Linked DNA regions of Arabidopsis thaliana. The protein of the gene in region 2 interacts with the protein of the main gene of each other region in a pairwise test. Each region holds a gene or a part of one and is shown on either strand. Other genes may lie near its edges.

Region 1 (7,466 bases), on a different chromosome or scaffold from region 2:
CAACGGCTATCTGATGAAGATGGTTATCAAAATACTTTACATTGTATTTTTATTTTTTTTAATTAAACACTATACATTGGGGATATGAGATTCGACTATTAAACACACAAAATAATTTGTTAGACTTATGTAAGAACATCATCTCCAATGGGGAGCTCTTAGTGATTTTTTTTGTTGATAAAACGTGAATTTCTTAAAGATTAAGTAATCAAAAAATAATTTAAAAGAAGAAAATACAGTAAAAGGGGTTCTTATTTTTTTTCTTTGGAAATAAAATAATGAAGAAATACTTGACAAAACAAATTGTCTTTATTGATGAAGTGTCAGCAATGTATCACGTATGTAATGTAAGAGGTACCCCTAGTTTCGTGATGAAACCATGTGGAATATTTTCCCGAAATGATGTAGACCGTCTTCGCTTTTTATACACTTTTTGTTCTTTATACATTGTCCTACTATATATTTAAACAATATAAAAACGAATAATAATATTAGAGGGATAACGAGAATTGGTCGTTTCTTCGTCTGACAAAACTATCTCTCTATGGGCGGGTCTATCCGTTGGCTGTGACTGCCTCTTGTTTTTTACTCACGCATGGCCATTGTTTAGATGTTCTTTCTCATACAGAGCACCGAACCAAAAAGAATTGTCTACAACTAAAACTATTGTATTGAGTTGCTTGGTGAGAAAGAAACTAGTGTTTGTCTTGTGTTTAGAGTTTACCTTTTAAGTTTTACCAAACGCCAACGATTGTTACAAGTATAAACTCAAAATGCATCTACGAAATATGGAACTAAGAAATAAAATTGAGATTGTGGTTTGAGGCCAGAGACAACGTTGCCATCAACACTCCTTCATAAATCTATAATGAATGCACTGCTTAGGAGATTTCAGAGTGCACCGAGATTCGGAAAAGCATGAATAGATTTCATTGTGAATTTGTGATGGGTGAACCCAAAAGACTAGAGAAGTTTAGAGTTGAAGTAATTGACTACTTATCGGTAGCAGTGCTGTACAAAACGAACCAGAGGACTGTTTGGCAAAACAAATGAATCATATATGAATTGCGAAATCAAGGTCTTCGTATGCATCACTTACTAAATCAAAACTATACATTTCAAGCATCTTCTTCATTTACCCTTTTCTAATTGGAACTTAAAACTAACAAGACACTTCGTTTCCTGCATTTGTTGTAGCTTTAGATGATTGCTTCTCGTCTTCAACATCCTGTAAACACGCAGCATAGGAAGTTCCTTAGTCCGAATTCATGAACAACAAGGTCTACATTTGGCGGAAATGTAAAAGGGTGCTTACTGAGTTTCCAATCTTGTCAAAGTCATCCTCAAGGCTTCCATCACCATCATCTGGAAGGGGTTAAACACAAATTAATAGATTATACATCCTGCTAAACTGAGCTAGAGACACAGTATACACAAAACCAAATTCAACGCCTTGGCTGATTCAAACAACTTGATATACGTTTATAATGACAAAATTAGTGACGTGGATACAAGAGGAAGATAACCTAAACACAGTTAAAAGTAGGGAGCAGAGAAGAGAAATTCTCACCTGGAGCTTCATCACTGTCTTCTAGATCACCCAACAGGAATGTATCCAGATCCTGCTCAGAAGACGCAGTAGATGTTCTACGGATTGCAACATTCTTTTCTACTGTTTCTGTCTCTCCAGTCGCTGGAGCCTTCTTAGCTTCTTCATTTCCATGCTCTCCTTTGGTCTTAAGTTCCTCCATGTACTTCCTCTCATATCTGAATAAAGTCATTACAAAAGAATGCCTCAGAACAAGCCAACTACCAAGATAACATATCATATCGATGAGATGCAAGGATCAACAAATTGCTATCCTCTACATGAAGGACTGTTGAAACCATCATTATAGATATAAGTCTAAGCTAATGGCATTCTTTCATCTCACGATCTCCTAAATGCATTACCAGGCTTCTTTATCAAATCCCTTTGTCCACACATTACTCAATTCCTTAATTACGATCCTAACTCACTAGTGTGAGTTACGCTTGCTTATCACATAGTGCGATGGAGATTGTAAGAGTAACAACAAAATCTTCTTTTACAACCATACACTATCATCTACAAAATAACATTAAATCCTAAAATCCAATTAGTTTTTTTTCTTAGCAATAATATGATTAGGAGAAAATTTAGCAAAGAAATGCTATCGGTGTATTAAGACATGGTAACTGATTAAGAATAAGAATCAAATAATTTAGTTTGCAACCAAAATGTTTTTTACTTATAAGTGTTAAGTTTCTAAGTTTTTGTAAATTAATTGAACACACTATCCAATCCCTTAAGAGAAAGTTCAATATGATTTTCACATAATTAAATTTTTAACACTTTTAAGTTTTAATTTTTGTGTGAATTAATTGGACACACAACATCCAAGCTCCTAAGAGGTGTCTTAGGTTCAATATGGTTTACACATAATTAAATTTTTAACACTTGTTTTTTTTCTTAAATTTTTTTGTTTTTTTGATAAGTGTTAATTTTAAAATTTTTGTGTAAATTAATTGGATACAATATCCAAACCCCTAAGAGATGTTCTAGGTTCAATATGGTTTACAAATAATTAAATTTTTGACACTTGCTTTTTGGCAATTAATATTAATATTATGTATATTTACAATATAAAAAAACAATACTCATTATTTTATGTATATTAATTGGACATAATATCTAATTATATAAAAAATATTATGTATACTTACAATAAATTAATTAGAGACAACATCCAATCAATTTTGTTTTTCTTTGGAAACAAACATGTCAATCTTCTTCTAAATATCTCAGTCACAGATCGTAAAGATCCTACTTTTAAGCAATCCATAGCAGCCTTACAAGTAAAGCACTATTCTCACCAACATATAAAAAGGACATCAGTTTCAGTTTAATCAACCACAACAAAGTTTCTGAATCCGCAATTAGATATATTTGGAGCGTAAATGTTTCCAAGGATCTTTTGTTAACGGTCACATAAAACCATACAATTAAGAACTTTTTATAACCTTATTTGGACCACCAACTATTGTATAACTGAGTCCCACAAGGAACTCCATCAAGACATATGTCAATGTCAAAACGATATTGTTTTATAACCCCATTTGTTAATCTAGTGGGAAAGAAATATATGCGCAAGGCGAGAAGTGTGGAGCCATGGACCACAAAGACTATAGCCGACAAAATGTAAGAAAAATATGTACATTATACCTTCATCATGGAAAGAAAAGCAGCTACTCATTGTTTATAAGTATTATTGTAGGCGGAGAGGAGACTCTTATTGTCTAAAGACGAAGAGAGGATCCGCGATGAGCTAGAAATGGAAATCGAAAGAAATTTGGAAGGGGAATTCAAGGACGGGATCTACAATCTCGCACTCAAGCTGCGTCGACTTTATGAACAAAGACGAGAAAGAGAGGAGTTGTTCGATGTTTCAATGAGAAAGAGCAAGAGAGTATTGGAGGTGAACATAAATATAAAGATGGAAGGAGATACCAAGATTGAGATCACAGAGAAGAAGAAGGAAGTAGACAACGAAAAGACGAAAAAGGCAGAGAATTCGGACAAGAGAAAGAAGTTTGTAGCAGTTGGTGAAGATAAAACAGGAAAAGAAAAGATGAAGAATCAAACGAGGGCTCATGAGCTCAGATGGAAATGGTAAAGAGAATGATTGGCCTGGATCTGTGCCTATATGCTGGTATCTATCTATGTTTGCACTTTTTCTTCCTGCAAATCCTACTTAAACACGAATGAAATAAGAGTTATGCTTGCTTATCACATAGTGCGATGGAGATTGTAAGAGTAACAACAAAATCTTCTTTTACAACCATACACTATCATCTAACAAAATAACACCAAATCCTAAAATCCAATTAGTTTTTTTATTAGCAATAATATGATTAGGAGAAAGTTTAGCAAAGAAATGCTATCGGTGTATTAAGACATGGTAACTGATTAAGAATAAGAATCAAATAAATATATAGAAGAGATAAAATAATGCTATTCTATAAAATCATAAATTTATAGAAGAGATGGTAAAGACTTACGGAGAAACATGAGTGCTCACTAGTGTGAAATAAATCCTCCAGAACCTCCTTTCTTTCATGAAACGAGGGCAAAGTTCGTATCTTAACTTGGAGATTTGCTGCAACAATGTGCAATGTGCATACAAAATCAGCTAACTAGATTCCTAGAGTAGACACTACAAGTCATATAACATATGAAATCTCGAATTTGAAAGTTGACCTTGACAGAGGTTAGAACCAGAGTGGCATGTCTCTCTTGCCAATCCGAGAGATCCTTTCGAACATTCGAAGCATTTGTTATCACATCGGAAACTTCATCCCCTTGATCTATACAAGTAGCTCACATTCAGCGAAACGAAGAGCCAACAAAATCGAAACAAAAATCAACAAATACCTTGATCAGGAAAAGCTTGGAATGTAGCAGAGGTCAAGCCTTCAGCGAACTCTCTCAAATCATCCGTTACACCGAATTCGAGAAGCTCCGCTTCTGAACCGGATCCTGACCCGGTCCCGGTCCCGATTATATCAGCGATCGATTTGATGTTCTGGATCTGATCAGCTTGTTTCAGCGCGGCGACTTTGAACTGATCCGCCTTCTTTGAAGCTTCAGCAGCGAATTCTTTGGATTTCTTAGCCGTTTCAGCAACGAAATCGGCGGCATTGAATTGATCAGCTTTCTTCGAAGCTTCGAGAGCGAGTTCCTTGGATTTCTTAGCAGTCTCGGTGACGAGATTGACGAAGGTCGCGGAGGATGATTGTGTTATCGTCTGAGACTTCTTACCCGCTTCTTCTGCGAACGATTTTGCCCTCTTCCATAGATCCTCCATTGCTGCGACTACTATTTTTCTTTTCTTCTCCGATTTGTTTTATACAGTTTCTTCTTTGGCAAAATGCCAAGTATTATGGGCTTAAACAATGAACTAATAATTATGAAGCCCACAAGGGCCCAATAATTCTCATTTCCGATCGTATCACGCACCTACATGAAGCAAATGGAGAAGAAACCGAATGTCACGTTCCCAACATTTTTATTTCTATTTTCAATTCAAAATTTACCTTCTAAGGCTGTGATTTACTTTGACCAAGTAAAGTTCAAATCATCAAAGACTAAATTCGTATTACAAATATTTTTTTTGTGTGAAAGAAATCAAATTACAATGTAACGATGAGATCAATATAGAAAAGGTTTGAACAACAATTCTTTCTAGCTCTCTCAGTCCCCAAATATTACATTTATTCATTGCTCCCCGAAATACAAGATATATTGAATTGGAAAAAGGCTTGATCATGTTGATATGATATAAGGACATACCAAAAATATATTAATTAACCGGTGTTTAATATAGATCATGAGTAGAGGATCGATCTTATATTATTTTAAAGAGATTGATATAGATCGATGTAGTCTATTCAAGCGGCGTAACAGCCAAGGTAATTGTAAATGGGTTCAAGAGTCAGATCCAGATTGTTCCTCCTCATCGCCGTTTGGTCTTCTTCTTGGTACAAACCACTGAAATTACAATCATATATAGCAAATTAAAATCATAATACAATAATATGCATGCATACCATCAACCTCTAACGCCATACCTAACACAAACCCTATATATGAAGTGCATTCACTATCATTGCCTATATGACTGACTGAACACTTCACTATATATGAGAATTTGACATTATGGTAAGAAAAAAGAACTTAAAAAAACAAGAAATACTGCCGTTACCCCATATTTAGGAAAGGAGAAGTCTGATGAGCGATCATGTAAAGATGGGGGTGTTGAAATGGTTGTGGCTGTGGTACATCGTCGACGCTGCGGTTCAGCTGCTCACATTGGGTTTGTTTTGTCCTTAGGATGTTTTCCCTCTCCTTTATCTATACCGATTACACACGCCAAGAAAATGATATAAGCATCATCTTTATATAGATTCCCATTTGCAACTAATCAGCTATTTGCATTTATTCAAGGAACTTCAATTTTTTATTCTTATACTTTTTTTTGTAATATGATATTTTCAAACAAAATGCAAAGTAATAATTAAATCTGCAAAATGTTAAGCGAATTTTAGCGTCGTCAAGGTCTTACTATTGTGATATTTTTTCATTTAATATATGTTCTTTAATCAAGTAGTTTCATCGTACGTTTTCTTACTTCTCAATAAAACTTAAATAGAGCTCCTAGCTATCTAGCTAATGTATGTGTAATTTACACATAGACTATGATTATGAGAAGACAGTTCAAGTTCAAGTTCAAATCTGGGAGACAACCTTAATACTAAACGGACAAAGCTTACCTATACGTGCAGCTAGGCTCATGATTATACCAATCAAAAGAAACTACATATCAATTCTTTTTACTCAAAAGAGTTGGTGCCGAAAGTGGAGAGATGGTAGCTTAAGGTAGAGATTGAAGTGGAGTTCAACAGTGGAATTGTAAATAGTGAAACAGTTAGAAATGCAAAAAACAATGATCACCTGTTTGGTAAGCATGCTGTTTTCCTCCTGTATCTCCTTCTCCTGTCATTTCCACAAAAATGACACCATTGTCAATTTCTCTTTTTATATGATCTATATAAGTATATATACATCTAGTAATTAATAATATATTAACCTGAATTATATATAACCTATATGTTATTTATTTATTAAAAGATTTATATCTCTAACATATAAGTCATGACTCTATACACACAGGACTTGAGAGATAAAATGGTTTTAACTTAGCTACCTTTCTTTGGAGGTGGTTGAGGGACTCATTCATGAGTTGATTCTGCATACAAAAAGGCCAAAAATTATTTATTTATATGAGACAATCTCTATACAATATTTGACTATATGTAATATATCCACACAAAGTCAAAGTTAGTTATGCATAGAGATAGAGTGTGGGATATATTTACACACTTTTCTGGAGCGAATGTGCTTAAGAGCAGTCTCAAGCTGCTGCTCCAGATTTTGGAGATCCTTGAGGCTCATTGGTTCCAACTCTTCTCCCAGATAATGCCTATGATGATTTAGTTAATTAAGAACATTCTCTCTTCTGTTATTCCTCAATATTTAACTACTAAAATAAATTTAAATGTACTATGTACCTTTGGTTTCTCTCCAAAAGCTCAATCTTGGCCTTAAGCCTGCTATACTCCATTGACCAGTTCGTCTGTGCCTTCACAATTAATTTCCAACATGAAAGCCAATAATCAGTTTATATGCTATGTTAAAACACATGCAAGATTCAAAATATACACAAATATATGATGGAGATCATTAAACATACATTAACGTGAGAGTCAGGTGCAATCAGCTGTCTCTCGGCGTAAGAATACCTCTCGTAGCGTTCTAGTACCTTCTCCATGCTACAAATATTAAGCTTACGAGTTAGAATTAGTTTGGATTCAACCACCAATATATT
Region 2 (4,401 bases):
GCGACAAATCGGTTCTTTTGTGAAATTTGTAACAAGGGGTTTCAGAGAGAACAGAACCTTCAGCTCCACAAAAGAGGCCACAACCTGCCATGGAAGCTGAAGCAGAAAACGAACAAGAATCAGGTGAAGAAGAAAGTTTATATATGCCCTGAGAAGAGTTGCGTCCATCATGATCCAGCTCGAGCCCTAGGAGACCTTACTGGAATAAAGAAGCACTTTAGCAGGAAACATGGAGAGAAGAAGTGGAAATGCGATAAGTGTTCCAAGAAGTATGCTGTGATATCCGATTGGAAAGCTCATAACAAGATTTGTGGTAGCAGAGAGTTTAGATGTGATTGTGGTACTCTTTTCTCCAGGTCATTACTACTCTTTCTACGTCTTCGTCTGCAGCATTATCGTTTGCCTTAACATGTTCATATATCAAACATTTTTAAAAATTGTAACAACGGAAAAAACGTTTTCAAATCTTCAGGTTTGCATTTATTTGAAGTGTTTGATAAAAATATAAATATAAACGTAAAACACAAAACATATTTGAATTATATTTGAAACAAACCGGGTCTTATAATTGGACATCGAAACAGATGCATGCATACATAAAAGCATGATATTGCCTATGCTAGAAAAATAAAAAGTTATTGAGTTTACTTTATGTATAGCGAGTACGTTGGTCTTTGGCTCGTAGCTTGTCATTTGGATACCACTACCGTTAATTATTTCTTGGCTTCTCTGTGTCTTGGTCCAGTTTGTAGTTTTATAGAGACACCAATATCGAGGAGAAAAAAGGCTGCATGACTAGGACATGATGTGGTCATGTCTCCATAGCCTTGAGTCTTTTTTTTTTCACCTTACTACACATATCGATTATAAGCTTGCATCGAATAAAGAGTTGCATATATACCATATACAAGAAGACCTATTTTAATTTAATTTATATGTTACCAATTAGCCTATATTAACATAGTTACTTTATTGAATGATTTGGTTGATTGTACCAGGAAGGACAGTTTCATCTCACATAGATCCTTCTGTGATGTCTTAGCTGAAGAAAGTTCTAAATTCTTCTCAGTTCCTTCACCATTAGCCGCCAATTCGACCATCGCCACTGTCACTGATACCAACAATCCAATTCTCATTCAATCACAATTGGATCAATCTTCCACAGGTACGGCCGATCTTAACGTCAACAACAATCACACCACCCTATTTGGACAAAAGTTCACCAACTCCAACCCAACCCAACAACAACCCAATGCTTTGGCGTTGTCCTCACCACCATCACCTCGTAGTACATCTGATTCGGTTCATAATCTATGGAAGTTACAAGAAGAGGAATGTGCACACCAGTGGTTACTCAATGAATATATGAACAATAACAAAAACATATTCCATAAGGGAATATTCAAGAATCAAGAAGATGAGATAAAGAAGGGAAATATCTACAGCGGCTCAAACCCAACCGATGGAAACATAGCATCCTTGTTCTCGTATAATCAAGAAGCAGTGAATATGGCTTCATTTTCGGCAACAACATTGCTTCAAAAGGTAGCTCAAACGGGAACACCATCAAGCTCCGAAACTAGCACCACCATGTTTGGGCAAATGACTTCCTCCATCTTCAACAATACGATGCTAAACTCCTATTGTTTAACGGCGAAGAATAATGAAGAAGAGTTGACCAGAGACTTTCTTGGTGTGGGAAGTAGTGAGGACCAACAACGTCTACATCGTCATCGCTTCCCATCAAGCGTGCCATTGACGGCGAACCATGATATTCCCAAGTTGGCCGCAACCATTGTAGGCAGGAAGCAACCATAGACATGGCGTCATCTGATTCTGAAATTACTCGTTTTTGTTGACATGCAAGGTAATTAAAGATAGAAAAACTATCTCCACAAGTTCTTTAGAAAAACTATAGAACAAAAACCTGAAGCGATAATTTGTTTACAAAATAATATGTACGTGGAAGTGTATTGTTTAAATCTAAAAATTTTATTTATATATTTTCTCTCATTGGAGACAACGTATGGGATGGGAGCTAGATGCGAGACAACCATCCACAACAATAGGAGAAAAGCGTAGATCACGAGAGAATTTCTGAGTCAACTCGATTTAGTAGACCAGGTTAACTCGGTTGACAAAGATTGAAAGTTATTTGGCCCCACGTGCCACCATGCATAGAGAAACCTAACCATGGATCATGCATGAAATTCGAAATCTCTTTTCTTGCAGAAACGTAAGGTTTTTATCCTCCCCCCCAAAAAAAAAGAAACGTAAGGTTTTTATATAATTCTTAAGCGTTTTCAGATTTGATTAATCATGACTGAAAACACGCATCTCATTCTTCTTGTCTTTTTAAAAAGTTTCCAAACTAATGCTAAATAATAGGATTATTTACTAATCCAAATTGCAATCAACAATGTTATTTATATAAACCTATTGGACAAAATCTCTCCCTTTATGTCATTGACAACATTTCCAGAAACAGAGTATAAACGCACTAGTGAGTGAAATAAGAATCAGACATGAGCTCGTTATCAAAACCAAACAGACAATTTTTGTCACCAACAACAAACAACCAAGACACCGGCAGAGAACAAACAATCGCCTGCGCCCGAGATATGGTTGTCTTGTACAACGAGTGCCTTAAAAACCACGCGGTCAGTCTCGGAGGCCACGCTCTTGACGGCTGCGGTGAGTTCACACCAAAGTCAACCACCATCCTCACGGACCCTCCGTCCCTTAGGTGCGATGCTTGTGGCTGCCATCGCAACTTCCACCGTCGTAGTCCTTCTGACGGCTTCAGTCAGCACCGGTCACCACCGTCTCCGTTACAGCTGCAGCCACTCGCCCCTGTTCCGAACTTGCTTCTCTCTCTTAGCTCCGGTTTCTTTGGACCCTCGGATCAAGAAGTCAAGAACAAATTTACGGTGGAAAGGGATGTTAGGAAGACTGCGATGATTAAGAAACATAAGAGGACGAAATTCACGGCGGAGCAGAAGGTGAAGATGAGAGGTTTCGCGGAGAGAGCGGGGTGGAAGATTAACGGCTGGGATGAGAAGTGGGTGAGAGAGTTTTGTAGTGAAGTTGGAATAGAGAGAAAAGTTCTTAAGGTTTGGATCCACAACAATAAGTACTTTAACAACGGGAGGAGCAGAGACACGACGTCCTCTATGTCTTTGAATTTGAAGTTGTAGATCTCTTTACAGTGATGGGTCTTCATCTTCTTGAGATAAGGAAAAACCGAAACAAAAAGAGGTTACGGTAGTCTCTGATCCGACCGGAATGTCACGTCAGAAATATAAATTATCTAAGTTTTTTTAAAATTAAAAATTATTATCCTAGAAGACTTGTCATTTTGGGCATAACTTGTAACGATGGATCATGACTCATGACATGTATATGGATATGTATTCGAGTGATATTAAGGGTATTTACTCTCTCTTTTTTGTTTATATTTATATATAAGTAAGTATATAGTGTAACAATGCTGTAAATAATAATTCATGAGTGAGTAACTAAGAAAATTGAAATATATAGGTAACTGGTTAATATATAGGAGGAAATCAGTACCTAGTTTTTTTTCTTTCTCTACAGTACTAATCCTAGTTTAAGGAGTAAAAGGTGAAAACAGGATGTAGTCTCTATATAGATACTTCCTACTTGACACGGCTACTTTAACTAGTGACATTGAGAAACACAATAACACTCCTTTTGAATACAAGATGTGACCCATTCTCGTTGACACTACAAACGAATCTCCTGAACTTTAAAGGCAAGTAGATTTTAACTAATAAGATACGTGATTAGGATATTATATGTACATCCATTTAAGGATAAAGCTTCGGTAACAGCCCTCATATAATTGTCCTAAATAAGGATAATGCAATTGTATCTATACACTATATTGTCCTAATACATATATCTTTCCGTAAAGAGTTGGCTCTTCACACACATCTTGAACGAAGCATCTGATGGTCTTTATTCCTTGTCATCAGAAGCTTCTTATTGGGGTGATATTTAATGGAAGATTCTTTGACGAAGGAGGAGTCGTCACCTATATGCTGTTTCAAGTTTCAAATTCCAAATTATAAAGAGATTCGTTTTGTTGAATAATTATTAAATTGATCGACTGGACTTCCATTTTCCCAGATTTGCAATCATGCATGTGGCAAACCAATTTAATTCTTTGACTTAAATTAAAATGAAGAACGAATTTGTTGCTATAGTTGTAGGATGGTTTTTAAAAAAATAAATGTATTATCAATTTATACTAACGCTAGATTAAACTTTATAGTATTGGATTTTGTATTTGATCAGTAGATCAGAATTTTTATTGCAAAAGACATATATATGAATGGGTGAAATACAAAATAATTCCATACAAATGAATGTGATTTT

What was found. Proteins that work in one complex are often made in the same cells at the same time.
Region 1: the proteins of HB26 (region 2) and AT1G26300 interact in a two-hybrid assay, tested with the Arabidopsis thaliana proteins (one large-scale study listed by BioGRID).

Annotation. Positions count from the first base shown.
Region 1 is NC_003070.9:9,094,861-9,102,326, forward strand, and holds AT1G26300 (BSD domain-containing protein), read right to left. Parts: upstream 4,906-7,466; 5' UTR 4,887-4,905; coding exon 4,454-4,886; intron 4,387-4,453; coding exon 4,280-4,386; intron 4,179-4,279; coding exon 4,081-4,178; coding exon of another isoform or gene 4,077-4,080; exon of another isoform or gene 3,696-4,076; coding exon of another isoform or gene 3,297-3,695; exon of another isoform or gene 3,221-3,296; coding exon of another isoform or gene 3,191-3,220; exon of another isoform or gene 2,783-3,190; intron 1,768-2,782; coding exon 1,571-1,767; intron 1,366-1,570; coding exon 1,316-1,365; intron 1,229-1,315; coding exon 1,163-1,228; 3' UTR 908-1,162; downstream 1-907. Other genes in the region: AT1G26290 (uncharacterized protein), read left to right, coding at 3,191-3,220, 3,297-3,695; CAL (K-box region and MADS-box transcription factor family protein), read right to left, coding at 5,470-5,569, 5,784-5,932, 6,533-6,574, 6,786-6,827, 6,962-7,061, 7,150-7,220, 7,332-7,410.
Region 2 is NC_003076.8:24,320,973-24,325,373, forward strand, and holds HB26 (homeobox protein 26), read left to right. Parts: upstream 1-2,398; 5' UTR 2,399-2,525; coding exon 2,526-3,197; 3' UTR 3,198-3,363; downstream 3,364-4,401. Other genes in the region: AT5G60470 (C2H2 and C2HC zinc fingers superfamily protein), read left to right, coding at 1-356, 999-1,818. UniProt on the Arabidopsis thaliana protein: Putative transcription factor.